Linked DNA regions of Macaca fascicularis. The protein of the gene in region 2 purifies or fractionates together with the protein of the main gene of each other region. This does not show direct contact. Links are inferred from orthologs where the notes say so. Each region holds a gene or a part of one and is shown on either strand. Other genes may lie near its edges.

The links. The genes of interacting proteins can lie anywhere in the genome.
Region 1: the proteins of ANAPC13 (region 2) and ANAPC7 purify together in Homo sapiens (affinity purification with mass spectrometry; 3 studies listed by BioGRID and IntAct, counting the BioPlex papers as one, with this or other methods). This does not show direct contact. The link is inferred for Macaca fascicularis from reciprocal best matches to the Homo sapiens genes ANAPC13 and ANAPC7.

What each region holds. Positions count from the first base shown.
Region 1 is NC_088385.1:117,272,448-117,278,328, forward strand, and holds the start of ANAPC7 (anaphase-promoting complex subunit 7), read right to left. Parts: upstream 4,017-5,881; 5' UTR 3,924-4,016; coding exon 3,823-3,923; exon of another isoform or gene 3,023-3,822; intron 2,075-3,022; exon of another isoform or gene 2,020-2,074; intron 1-2,019. UniProt on the Homo sapiens protein: Component of the anaphase promoting complex/cyclosome (APC/C), a cell cycle-regulated E3 ubiquitin ligase that controls progression through mitosis and the G1 phase of the cell cycle.
Region 2 is NC_088376.1:37,391,821-37,397,734, forward strand, and holds the start of ANAPC13 (anaphase-promoting complex subunit 13), read right to left. Parts: upstream 3,875-5,914; 5' UTR 3,768-3,874; intron 3,738-3,767; coding exon of another isoform or gene 3,404-3,737; exon of another isoform or gene 3,232-3,403; coding exon of another isoform or gene 3,058-3,231; exon of another isoform or gene 2,523-3,057; intron 1-2,522. Other genes in the region: CEP63 (centrosomal protein of 63 kDa), read left to right, coding at 3,404-3,679. UniProt on the Homo sapiens protein: Component of the anaphase promoting complex/cyclosome (APC/C), a cell cycle-regulated E3 ubiquitin ligase that controls progression through mitosis and the G1 phase of the cell cycle.

The sequences.
Region 1 (5,881 bases), on a different chromosome or scaffold from region 2:
GAGATTGCGCCACTGCACTCCAGCCTGGGCGACAAGAGTGAAACTCTGTCTTTTAAAAAAAAAAAAAAAGGCCGCGCGCAGTGGCTTACGCCTGTAATCCCAGGCCACAGGGTTTCTTTTCATTGAGGTAATGAAAACTTTCTGGAATCAGATCATGGTGATGACCATACAATTTTGTAAATACTCTAAAACCCACAGAATTGCATTATTGTGGCCATGCACTATGGCTTACGCCTATAATCCTAGCTACTTAGATGCTGAGGCCGGAGAATCACTTGAACCTGGGAGGCAGAGCTTGCAGTTAGCCAAGATCCCGCCACTGCACTCCAGCCTGGGTGACAGAGAGAGGCTCTGTCTCATAAATAAACAAACAAACAAACAAAAAACGGCCGGGAGCGGTGGCTCATGCCTGTAATCCCAGCACTTTGGGAGGCTAAGGTGGGAGGATCACCGAGGTCAGGAGTTCGACCAGCCTGGCCAGCATGTTGAAACCCTGTCTCTACTAAAAATACGAAAATCAGCCAGGCGTGGTGGTGGTCACCTGTAAACCCAGCTACTTGGAAGGCTGAGGGAAAACTGCTTGAACCCAGGAGGCGGAAGCTGCAGTGAGCCGAGATCACGCCACCGCACTCCAGCCTTGGTGACAGAGCGAGACTCAGTCTCCCCCCCAAAAAAAACAACACAACAAAAAAGTATAGTCTAGATGACTTAAGTTCTCTTCAAACTCTGTGATTCTATGTATGTAGTGAGAAATAACCATCTGATGCCTGGATACAAAAGTATTATTACACCCACAGAAGGCATTCTGATACTCATATAACATACATGTCTACTTACACATGCATAAGTTACCTCTGTAATGACACAGGAAAAAATAGTTACTGCCTCTGGAGAAAGGAAATGGTGGGGTGAGGTTCAAGACTCAGGGAAAGATACTGATCTGCATGCCCCTTCTCCACTGTTTGAATTTAACAGTGTCTACTGCCTATTCCACAAGAAATTTTAAAGTATAAACCATGAAGGGCAGAAACCTGAACATGTCCTAAAGCTAGGAAACTGCCAATCTAACCTAACATGAAAAAGCATGGGCTAAACTTAGTCTAGCCAGAGAATTAAACTGTTTCAAACTCTCCTGTAACATCTTTGAGAACTAAGAGCAAGTAGGGCCTAAATCTCCAAACGTGGAAACTATGCTTTGACAAATCACTCAGAACCAAGAACCAAGTGAAAGGTTCCAGAATAAACACAGAAGGCTGACAGAGACCAGGGCTCCTGTCAACATGAAGTGGATGGTGGCAAAATGATGGGTCTCACTAGTAAGGTCCAAAGCACACTAATGAGGCCGGGCTCGGTGGCTCACGCCTGTAATCCAAGCACTTTGGGAGGCCTAAGTCATGGGGATCACTTGAGGTCAGGAGTTCGAGACAAGCCTGGTCAACATGATAAAACTCCATCTCTATAAAAAAAAAAAAAAATTAGCCAGGCGTGGTGGTGCGAATCTGTAATCCCTGTTACTCAGGAGGCTGAGGTGGGAGGATCGCTTGAGCCTGGGAGGTGGAGGCTGTAGTGAGCCAAGATCGCACCACTGCACTCCAGCCTGGGCAACAGAGCAAGACTCTGACTGAAAAGCAAAACAAAACACCAAAGCACACTCATGAAAATCCAATGGGCAGCAGCAGCTGCATTGTAAGCACTTTAAGGACCTTTCCCTTCTGACCTAGACCAGCTTCTATAGCAGGCCAAACACTAATACATCTACAGAGTAGAAGTTTCCATGATAATGCCATTTGGAGGTAGCAGACTGGTGGCTCAGAATGGAGACTCTCCAGTCAGAGAAGACCAGGTCCAGACATTGTACTCCTCCATTTATTAGATGTGTGAACTCAGACAAGGGTATTTCACCTCCCTGAAGTTGTACTCACTTCCTCAACACACTCAATAAGCATGTGAGTGCTTAATGCGCACATCCACTGTGCTTTCAATTGCTAGGCGATGCGAAGGGTAGAAAAGTGGGAGTACCTGAGAGTCCTGGGAGTCAGAGAAGGTTCTCTAGGAGAGATGTTCAGGCTAAAACCTGAAGGAGGAGGCAGCGCTGAGATAAGGACCGTTGCAGCAGGAACAGCAAGTACAAGGGCCCAGAGAACACGCTTGGTACATTCAAATAACACAAAGAGGCCAAGCGCGGTGGCTCACGCCTGTAATCCCAAAATTTTGGGAGGCCGAGGTGGTGGGATCACCTGAGGTCAGGAGTTCAAGACCAGACTGGTCAATATATTGAAACTCCGTTTCTACTAAAATTACAAAAATTACCTGGGCATGTGGCGCTCGCCTGTAATCCCAGCTACTTGGGAAGCTGAGGCAGGAGAATCGCTTGAACCCAGGAGGCGGAGGCTGCAGTGAGCCGAGATCGCGCCACTGAACTCCATCCAGCCTGGGCGACAGAGCAAGGCTCTGTCTCAAAAAAAAACAAAAATAAATAAAAATAAATAAATAACAGAAAGAATAGCCAGAGAGGCTGGAGAGCAGTGAACACAGTAATGAGATGAAGTAGCAGAGAGTGAAGGGCAGATAGTTCCTTTCGGAGGCCATGGGAAATAATTTTCATTAGTGCAATAAATGATTTTTTTTTTTTTTTAAGACGGAGTCTCGCTCTGTCGCCCAGACTGGAGTGCAGCGGCGCGATCTCGGCTCACTGCAAGCTCTGCCTCCCGGGTTCCCGCCATTCTTCTGCCTCAGCCTCCCCAGTAGCTGGGACTACAGGTGCCCGCCACCACACCCGGCTAATTTTTTTGTATTTTTTTAGTAGAGACAGGGTTTCACCGTGTTAGCCAGGATGATCTCGATCTCCTGACCTCGTGATCCGCCTGCCTCGGCCTCCCAAAGTGCTGGGATTACAGGCTTGAGCCACTGCAACCAGCCAGTGAAGGATTTTAAGCAGGAGAGGGACATGTACTTAAGGATGGACACTCAAGGATGGAATCAGCCCAGTGCTTCAATGAAACAAGAAAGGCGCCACGCCCACCCATTAATGGAATCTCCCGTTTCTTTTTTGAGACAGGCTGTCGTTCTGTCGCACACGGTAAAGGACAGTGATGCGATCACGGCTCACTGCAGCCTCGACCTTCTGGGCTCAAGCAATCCTCCTGCTTCAGCCTCCCGAGTAGCTGGGAACTCAGGCACGCACAATCACGCCCGGCTAATTGTTTAATTTTTATTTTTCATAGAGGCAGGGTCTCCCTATGTTGCCCAGGTTAGTCTTAACTCCTGGGCTCAAGCGATCCTCCCGCCTCGGCCTCCCAAAGTGCTGGTATTAGAGGCGTGAGCCATCGCGCCCGGCCCCGTTTTCAGGGGTTTCCCAAGGCGAGAAAGTGGACCCTCCTGATACACTTAATGGGGTGACCAATCTCAGATGCGGGGCTAGAGCATAAAAACCAGGAGGCTGGGTCCCGGAGCTGCAGCGAGAGAAAAAAACGTTCTCTGGAAGGAGCCGAGAGGGGAGGATTCGGCCCAGCGATGTGACAGTCGCGCTACCCCGCGACAGGTGCCTCAGAAAACCCTCGCCTGGGTCGTCCTCAGAGCCTCTGCCTTCTATTTCTCCAAGCCGCCGCTCGCCACATCTCCGCAGGGACTTGACGCCGGCACCCAGTGAACCCAACTTGCGCTCCGAAGTCTGCTCCGCTCCACTACGCCCTCGCAGACGCCGGAGCCTCCGCTGGTGCGGGAGGCCGCTCCTTCCCGCCTGTTCCCGCGTGCCCTGAGCCCCCGGTCCCAGACCACTGCCGCTTTCTCCTCAGCCCCAGGCCGCTCCCCGCCTCAACTCACGGGTTGTTATTGCTCATTGTAAGTAACAAGCTGCTGAGGAGCCGCACGTTGGAGTGCAGCCCCGCGGCCGCCATGTCCCGCACGTGGTCTATCACATTCATCCTGCCCTGCAAGGCCGCGGGCAGCGGCGGCAGCACTGTCTCGAAAAACCGGTAAGGGATCCTTAGGGAAGACTCCAAAATGGCCGCGTCGCCGGGGTCCATCGGGTCCACACGCGGCACCGCCCCCAAGCAAAAGGTAACTACTGAAGTGCCCGAATAAAAAGAAACTCGAGTCCCTGCTCCTGTCGTGGTCCCTTTCCGGTGAAATGAGTTGTTACTTTTACGCAAAAATTACGTCATCATCCTAAACTGCAAAATTTACTGAGGACTTACAATGAGACAAAAGTCACCTTAGTAAGACTACTTGGTCAATTTGAATGAGTCTGAGAGGAATTTGGGCCTCTCAGAAATTAAAATGTGTGAGCACTTACCAGAAATAAAATATAGTAAGGTGAGGAAAAGCGCTCCAACTGGAATTAAATATTCTAATCGGGCGCCAGGGACAGACCTAACGGCTTTTACAGTCGCGCATGCGCACCAGGCAGGGGCCGCCGCCTCCCTGCTCAGGTGTTTTGTGTTCCTGCTAAAGTCAGGCTTTGTCCCTGGATGAACTTGTTAATTCGAGGGGCGTATTTTACCATGTAAAATGATTCCCTAAATCCGTGGAAATAAAGACTAGATCCAGGAATTAGCTGATACCCATATAAACCAGCATGTGTCTGGCACAGTTAACTTTTTACAAAAGTTTTACACAAGTTATTGGACGTTCACAACAATCCATAAAGTTGAAGTTGTCTTTCCCTTCTCACAAGGGAAGAAACTGCCTGCTTAAATTTTGTGCTCAGGTTGTTAAATGGTTGACTTGGAATCAGATCGCCAGTGGTTAAATGTGATGGATCGCAAACTCGAATGTATACAGAGACCAGGGAGGTAACTGAGCCAATGAGGCAGTTTAGGTATTTGAATCAGAATCCCAATATCCTCCACAATCACCCTCTCAGATATAGCCTTTCGCTCCTTTCTTGAAGGAGACAGTTGTTTTGGTCTATATTTTGTTTTCATTTGATTTTTAGAGTAACAGATGCAAAAAAAAAAATGCTCTGAAAAAATCACGGTATATCTTCACCAGTCAACTTTTTCAGCTCTTACATTTTGTCACAGTTGAAGCTCCTGTGATCCTTTTCCCATCTCATCCCCTACTCTAGTTTTCTGGATGTATGAGACCTTTGATGTGATTTTGGTAGGCATGATCACTGTGAACTTTTCTTTTTTTTTTGAGATGGAGTTTTGCTTTTGTCGCCCAGGTTGGAGTTCAAAATCTCAGCTCACTGCAACCTCTGCCTCCCGGGTTCAAGTGATTCTCCCTGCCTCAGCTTCCTGAGAAGCTGGGATTACAGGCACCTGCCACCACTGTCACGCACGTCCGTGTGAAGAAACCACCAAACAGGCTTTGTGTGAGCAACAAGGCTGTTTATTTCACCTGGGTACAGGTGGGCATGTAGGAGGATGAGCCGCAGACAAAACTCCTCAGACACCAAATTAAAGAAGGAAGGAGTTTATTCGGCCAGGAGCATTGGCAAGGCTCCTGTGTCAAGAGCTGAGCTCCCTAAGTGAGCAATTCCTGTCCCTTTTAAGGACTCACAACTCTAAGGGGGTCCATGTGAGAGGCTCATGATCGATTGAGCAAGCAGCGGGTACGTGACAGGGGCTGCATGCACTGGTGGTCAGAGTGAAACAGAACAGACCGGGAAGTTTCACAATGTCTTTCTATAATCTATAGATAACATTAGTTGCTAGGTCAGGGGTCGAATTTTAACTACCAGGCTTAGGTAAGGCAGGCCCAGGCCTGGTTTTGGGTCTGGTTCCTTGGTTTTTGGTCTGGTTCCTAGGTGCCGGGTTACCTGCTTTTTGTTTTGCTTTTCTTTCCTTTTCTGAGTTTAAAACAATATAAAACCATATGAGAGGCTGGGCGCAGTGGCTCATGCCTGTAATCCCAGCACTTTGGGATGCCAAGGCAG
Region 2 (5,914 bases):
CCTCAGCATTCTTAGGCACAGGAGTCACATGAACATACTGTAAAGGAAATGGCTTCCTTCCCTAAAATAGTACCCAGGCTGCGATCTGAACAAAGCACTTCTAGGTGAACACCAGTGGTAGAACCTCATACTGCTGGTTTCTCCAGTTTCTGCTTCCCTTTGGGATAGCTCCTTCCTTGGAGGTTCCTTCCTCTAATTCTTAATGCTGCACTCCCTTTAATTTCTGGCCCAAATGGCCAGGATACTTATTTAGCTCCTTGACCATGGCTGATTCCCCATTTTTCTCTGAAGCTGCAATAAAAACCCCAACAAATGACCAATTCACACCCTACCAGCAATTTTCTTAAAATGGTAAGTCATGGGCCACACTTAGTGTAGGATCTGGGATCATTTACTTGTATTTTAAATTTAAATGTATTACTACTGAACTCTGCTTTGTACCAGAGTTCACAGATACCAATATATTTCTTTTCAATTACCTTAATTTATGTTTTGCTTTATGCTTAGCAAACTGTTATGCAATATCCAGACTTAAAATTTTCCGCTGGATTCTAATTCGTAGTATGTGAACATGTTTTCCCCTCTAAAATTATGCTCAATATATATTAAATGATATTTACTTATCTATATTTGAATCACATACATCTTGTTCTACAAGACAGATTCAAACATACTTGAACATATTGAAAAGAGCTATCATTTATTGTAAAGCAATAATATATTATCTTAAACTTAAAAAGAAAGTTCAGTCTTAATAATTACTTATAGATAACAAAGAATAAATAGGTCCTTAATTAATGAATTATTTAATTCAGAAGCAGACAACCTTGCTTAATTTCATCCTATCTGTGGTATGCTTTCTAATCCAAAAGGCTGGCTAGCTTGGAGGATACTTTTGGATTCCCTGTTTCCAAGGTTGGGCCCTGATTCATCATAGGCGTCATCCTATGGGTGCTCCCTGTTACAAAGTCACAATCCAAAAAGCCCAGAAGCCACTGGCATCAAAGGTACTCTCAGTTATTCTCAGTTTCTGAGACTATGGAGACTCACACAATAAGCAATTTTGGCGGGGGCGGGGTGGAACCCACCATCTTGAGGTGCTTTTTTCAGAGCTCAGCCTGGGTGCTATTTTAAGGAAGGAAGCCTTTTCCTTTACAAGGTCAACTTCAGACATCGTCTTGCCTTGAGGATTTGTGTCAGGTCTGTAGTTGGTCCCTTCCCATAGTCCATTTTAGTGTTATCTCAGTATGTTCATGAGCTCCTGTGCCTAAGAATGCTGAGGTTTGGGCCAAGGCAGGTGGAAGTTTTTGTAAAAATGGCTCACATGGCCGGGCGCGGTGGCTCACGCCTGTAATCCCAGCACTTTGGGAGGCCGAGGTGGGCGGATCACGAGGTCAGGAGATCGAGACTATCCTGGCTAACACGGTGAAACCCCGTCTCTACTAAAAACACAAAAAATTAGCCGGGCGTGGTGGCAGGCACCTGTAGTCCCAGCTATTCGGGAGGCTGAGGCAGGAGAATGGCATGAACCCGGGAGGCGGAGCTTGCAATGAGCCGAGATCTGGCCACTGCACTCCAGCCTGGGTGACAGAGCAAGACTCCGTCTCAAAAAAAAAAAAAAAAAAAAAAGACTTGGTCTCAAAAAAAAAAAAAAAAAAAAGGCTCACAGATGTCCCCCATAGGATAACTGCAAGATATCCCCAACACCTTGGCAAAAATTATACACAGATTGGTGTGTAGGAAAGGGTTTAAAAGATCTGGGCAAAACTTAAGCAAAACGCGCCCTGCTACTTGTCACCGGTGAGCCAGGTGAGGGCTTAATTAATCCAGTACTCAATAATTAACCCCCTACTACCCAGTGGATAACTCAAAGCAAGACGAAGTTTTGGTTATACTTTTGAAGTCCCTGTCTTATAAGAGCTCCCCACTTTCCTGCTGCTACTCCTTTGTCCTTGCTGCTGTGTCTCCTGGGATACCCTTTTCACTTTCCTCAGCTGATCCAAACCTGACTTTCCCAGGCCCACATAGGTTTTCCACCTTTTAGTAAGGTTTTCTCAGATCACTCGAGCTTCAGTAGGCCTTCTATCCTTGAACTCTTGCTTCTTGTCCTAACTTAAATCTACTAAACAAGCTTTGTGATCAATTGCTCAGGTATTATTGTCTCCAACTGTTATGTGTACATTTTGTACCCAGGATTCCTTAGTAGATCTTTCTACAATTTGGCCTCAATCTTTTTCACCTGTCCCTTCTCCAAACACCTCAAACCCTGTCACATTTTCCAGCCTTGACAGTTAAAACCCCCCTTTCCACATCACTAATGCCACTCTTCCTTTCAAGATCAACGCAGGCGTCAGCTCTTGGAGGTCAACATCCCATTTCCGGGGTTAGGCGTGAAGGTGCCTTCACTCTTAAGGGGCTGGAAGGATGGAAAGCAACAAGATAATCAACGCCCAAGGCACAGCCACCGTCCCAAGTACTCGTCACACAATACGACAACTGTTTCCTGAACAAACTTTTCTTACACGTGACAGTCCCGATGCCTGCAATGCTGTTTGTTTCTTCCTTTTTATTCCAGCGAACCCATAGTCAGTCTAAAAATCTCAGGTCTCAAGTCGCTTCCTGCAGGAGGCCGCCTCCAAACCTCAGGCTGAGCGCGGTCCCGGTACCCACCGGGGATCTCATAGTTCCCTAAGCACAGAGCATGGCACCAACTAGGTAGCCTGTCAAACAGCCCAGATGTATGTCTTTCCAGACACGCAGTGCCTGCGTTTCCCGGGACAGGGACATGTCTTATCCATTTCTATACATTATAGCTTTGTAAACATGTATCTGTAAGGTCAAAGCGGGAAAAATATTGTTCCTTGCTAGAAATGAGCCTCGCAGGCCACCACACTGTACGAGAGGCCGCCCCTCAGCCGCGGCTTCCGGCCTGACGCAGGATGTACCAAACGTGGAAGCGGAGACGGGGAGGTCTGGGGTGCCAAGCAAGTCCCTTTCCTCCCGACACAGCGTGCAGTAAAGAAAACGGTTATGAGCGTAAAGTGACAGCCTCGGCCGATGGAAATAGGGGGAAGTCCGACACTGAGCCACGAACGCATTCCCGCGCCTCCAAAACCTAGGCCGGGGGCGCTGCAAACCCTTACCGTTACGCGGCCCAGCGCGGCAGACGCTTCCTCCTGCCTCGCACCGCATCACGCGTCTGCACGCTCTTTCTCGGATTCCCGGATGTGGGTGAGTCCATTTGCTCGCGTGCAGGGGAAGTCTGGAGCAGACATTGATTCAATTATTAAAAGTGTGGGGGCAGTGGGCGGAACGAACGCTCCGACTGCTGAGGCTGGACGTAAGCTTAGTGGTGGCGCGCGTGCGCAGTGCACGGCCGAGGTAACGGCGGGAAGGCTGAGGGATGCGCTTGCTGCAGCCGTGTAACCGCCCGTGCGCAAGACGGAAGCGCAAGGGGCGAGCGCGTCCTGGTCCGGAGGCGGCCCAGGCTGCCTTGGTGACTCTGGCTTCGCGGCCTCATGGCTTGCGGCCGGTTCGCGCAACAGTCTGCGAACCACCAGGCGCCTCCCCGCCGGCTCGCGTCCGCCCCGGAGCCCCGTCCCTCGGCCTGGCCCGCTATGCCCTGCACACCGGCGTAGTCCGGCATGGCGCAGCCCGGCGCGCGGTTCGGCCCCGCCAGGTGGTCACAGCGTTTCCTCGGAGGCCGGGTGGCTGGGGGCGCTTCGGAGAGTAGCCAGGTGGGCGGGCGAGCTGCGCCCAGTACTCACCTTTCCCGGCGGACCCACCTTTCTTTTCAGCGGAGGTACCCCTGTGCGGCCTCCCGGCCAGGGCTGCTGTTTAGCTAGCGCTGTTAGGACTACTTCATTCACGGCACAAGGGGACCCGCTCATTTAGGGTGGCATGTTAAGGTTGGCAGCTTTTAAAATAGTGAGTTGGTGTAAACGGTTATGTTTAGTACAGCAGGTACGGAATTATGGCAGAAATCGTGGACTGAAATTGGAGAACCCTGAACTAACTGCTCCATGCACACAGATCAGGGATAGAAAGAAACAAGGACGGTTTCTTAGGAACACTTTAATCATGGAGATACTTGAAGACAGTACATTTAGGCTTATAATGTGGTTTTTTTTATGTCGTATACGACATCAGGAGAGTAAAGATGTGTATGATGTCAGAGACTAGTCATCTTGTATAGTTTAAGCACCGTACACTAATATGCACAAAGTAGTTTTCCCTGAGCTTTATGTCCGGTTAAACTTATTAAAAGAATTTATTCTTTTATAAAGCAGTATTGTAGGGTAGATGCTCTGTATTTATACAGTTCCTCACGTGCTTGCGTTTATTTTTTAGGTAAGAGAAAATCAAGGATCGTTGATTAGATTTCTGTTAGCTGTAGCTTAATAGTAAAACAAAGTATATATATTTTCTTATTTGGAATGCAGTACTATTTTTAGATTAATTTTTGAGATTGCCTTTTGACTGTGGCATGATCAGTGATCAGGGTAGTAAAAAAGGCTCTGAAACTAAAATGGGGTAGAGATTTATAAACAGGCACACTGCCTTTTAAAATGTATGTAGATGCAACTCTAAAAGTTGTTTGTAAAAATTGTATATGTTGATTGTACTGATGCCATTTTCTCTCTTTAAAAGGTGGAATGCCTTTGCTTAGTCCTTTCTGTTCTAATTTACGTTGTGCTGGCAGATGGTGACAGCATCAGTAGTCCACTCTGTCATTGCTTCCTGCTTTCAAAAAATGTCAACTTGATTTGGAATTCAGCTAAAGCCAACATTGACACAAGGTTTCAGGAACTGAATTTCCGATCTTTATGTTATTTTAGTCCCCTGCCCGCCCCCGTCAGGAGCTAGGTCTTTCAGTTTTGCAAAGCCACACTACTGTCATTACACATACACAAATTAATGAAAATTCTCTAATGTCAATGTCCAGTCAGATTACGATTTCTTCAACTCTCTCTTAAATGTCTTTTTTGCAGTTAGCTTGTTTGAACCAAAATCCCACAGGGATCTGCCTGTTGTGTTTGGGTGATGCATATTTGACATCTTTTAATCTATAGCAGTTCCCTCATAGCTATAGCTATGGGATTAGCCCCTATTTTTCCTTACAGTTCTAAATTTAGCAGATTACATTGCACAGTATCCTTTAACAGGTATCTCTGTTGCCTTTATGGCTTCTAAACCAGGGGCCCCCAAACCCGGGGCTGCAGAGCACTACCAGTCCGTGGCCTGTTAGGAACCAGGTTACAGAGCAGGAGGTGAGTGACAGGCGAGTGAGCATTACCTACCAACTGAGCTCTGCCTCCTGTCAGATCAGCTGTGGGGTTAGATTCTCCTAGGAGCATGAACCCTAATGTGAACTGCGCATGCAAGGGATCTAGGTTGCATGCTTATGAGAATCTGACTAATGACTCATGATCTGAGGTGGAACAGTTTCATCATGAAACCATGCCCCTAACCCTTGCCATGTGTATTATTCATATTACTGAAGAAGTGGTTGGCCGGGTGCGGTGGCTCACGCCTGTAATCCCAGCACTTTGGGAGGCTGACGTGGGCGGATCACGAGGTCAGGAGTTCGAGACCAGTCTGGCCAACATAGTGAAACACCGTCTCTACTAAAAATGCAAAAAAGTTAGCCGGGTGTGGTGGTGTGCGCCTGTAATTCCAGCTACTCGGGAGGCTGAGGCAGGAGAATCACGTGAATCCGGGAGGCGAAGGTTGCAGTGAGCTGAGATCACACCGTTGCTCTCCAGACCAGGCTACAGTGTGAGACTGGATCTCAAAAAAAAGAAAATAAATAAACAAATAAAAAGTGGTTTGGCCATTCCTCCCCCAAAACATTTCATATGAATGTTAACAAAAAGATATTTACAAAATTTTTTATTTCCACCCTGTCCGTGTT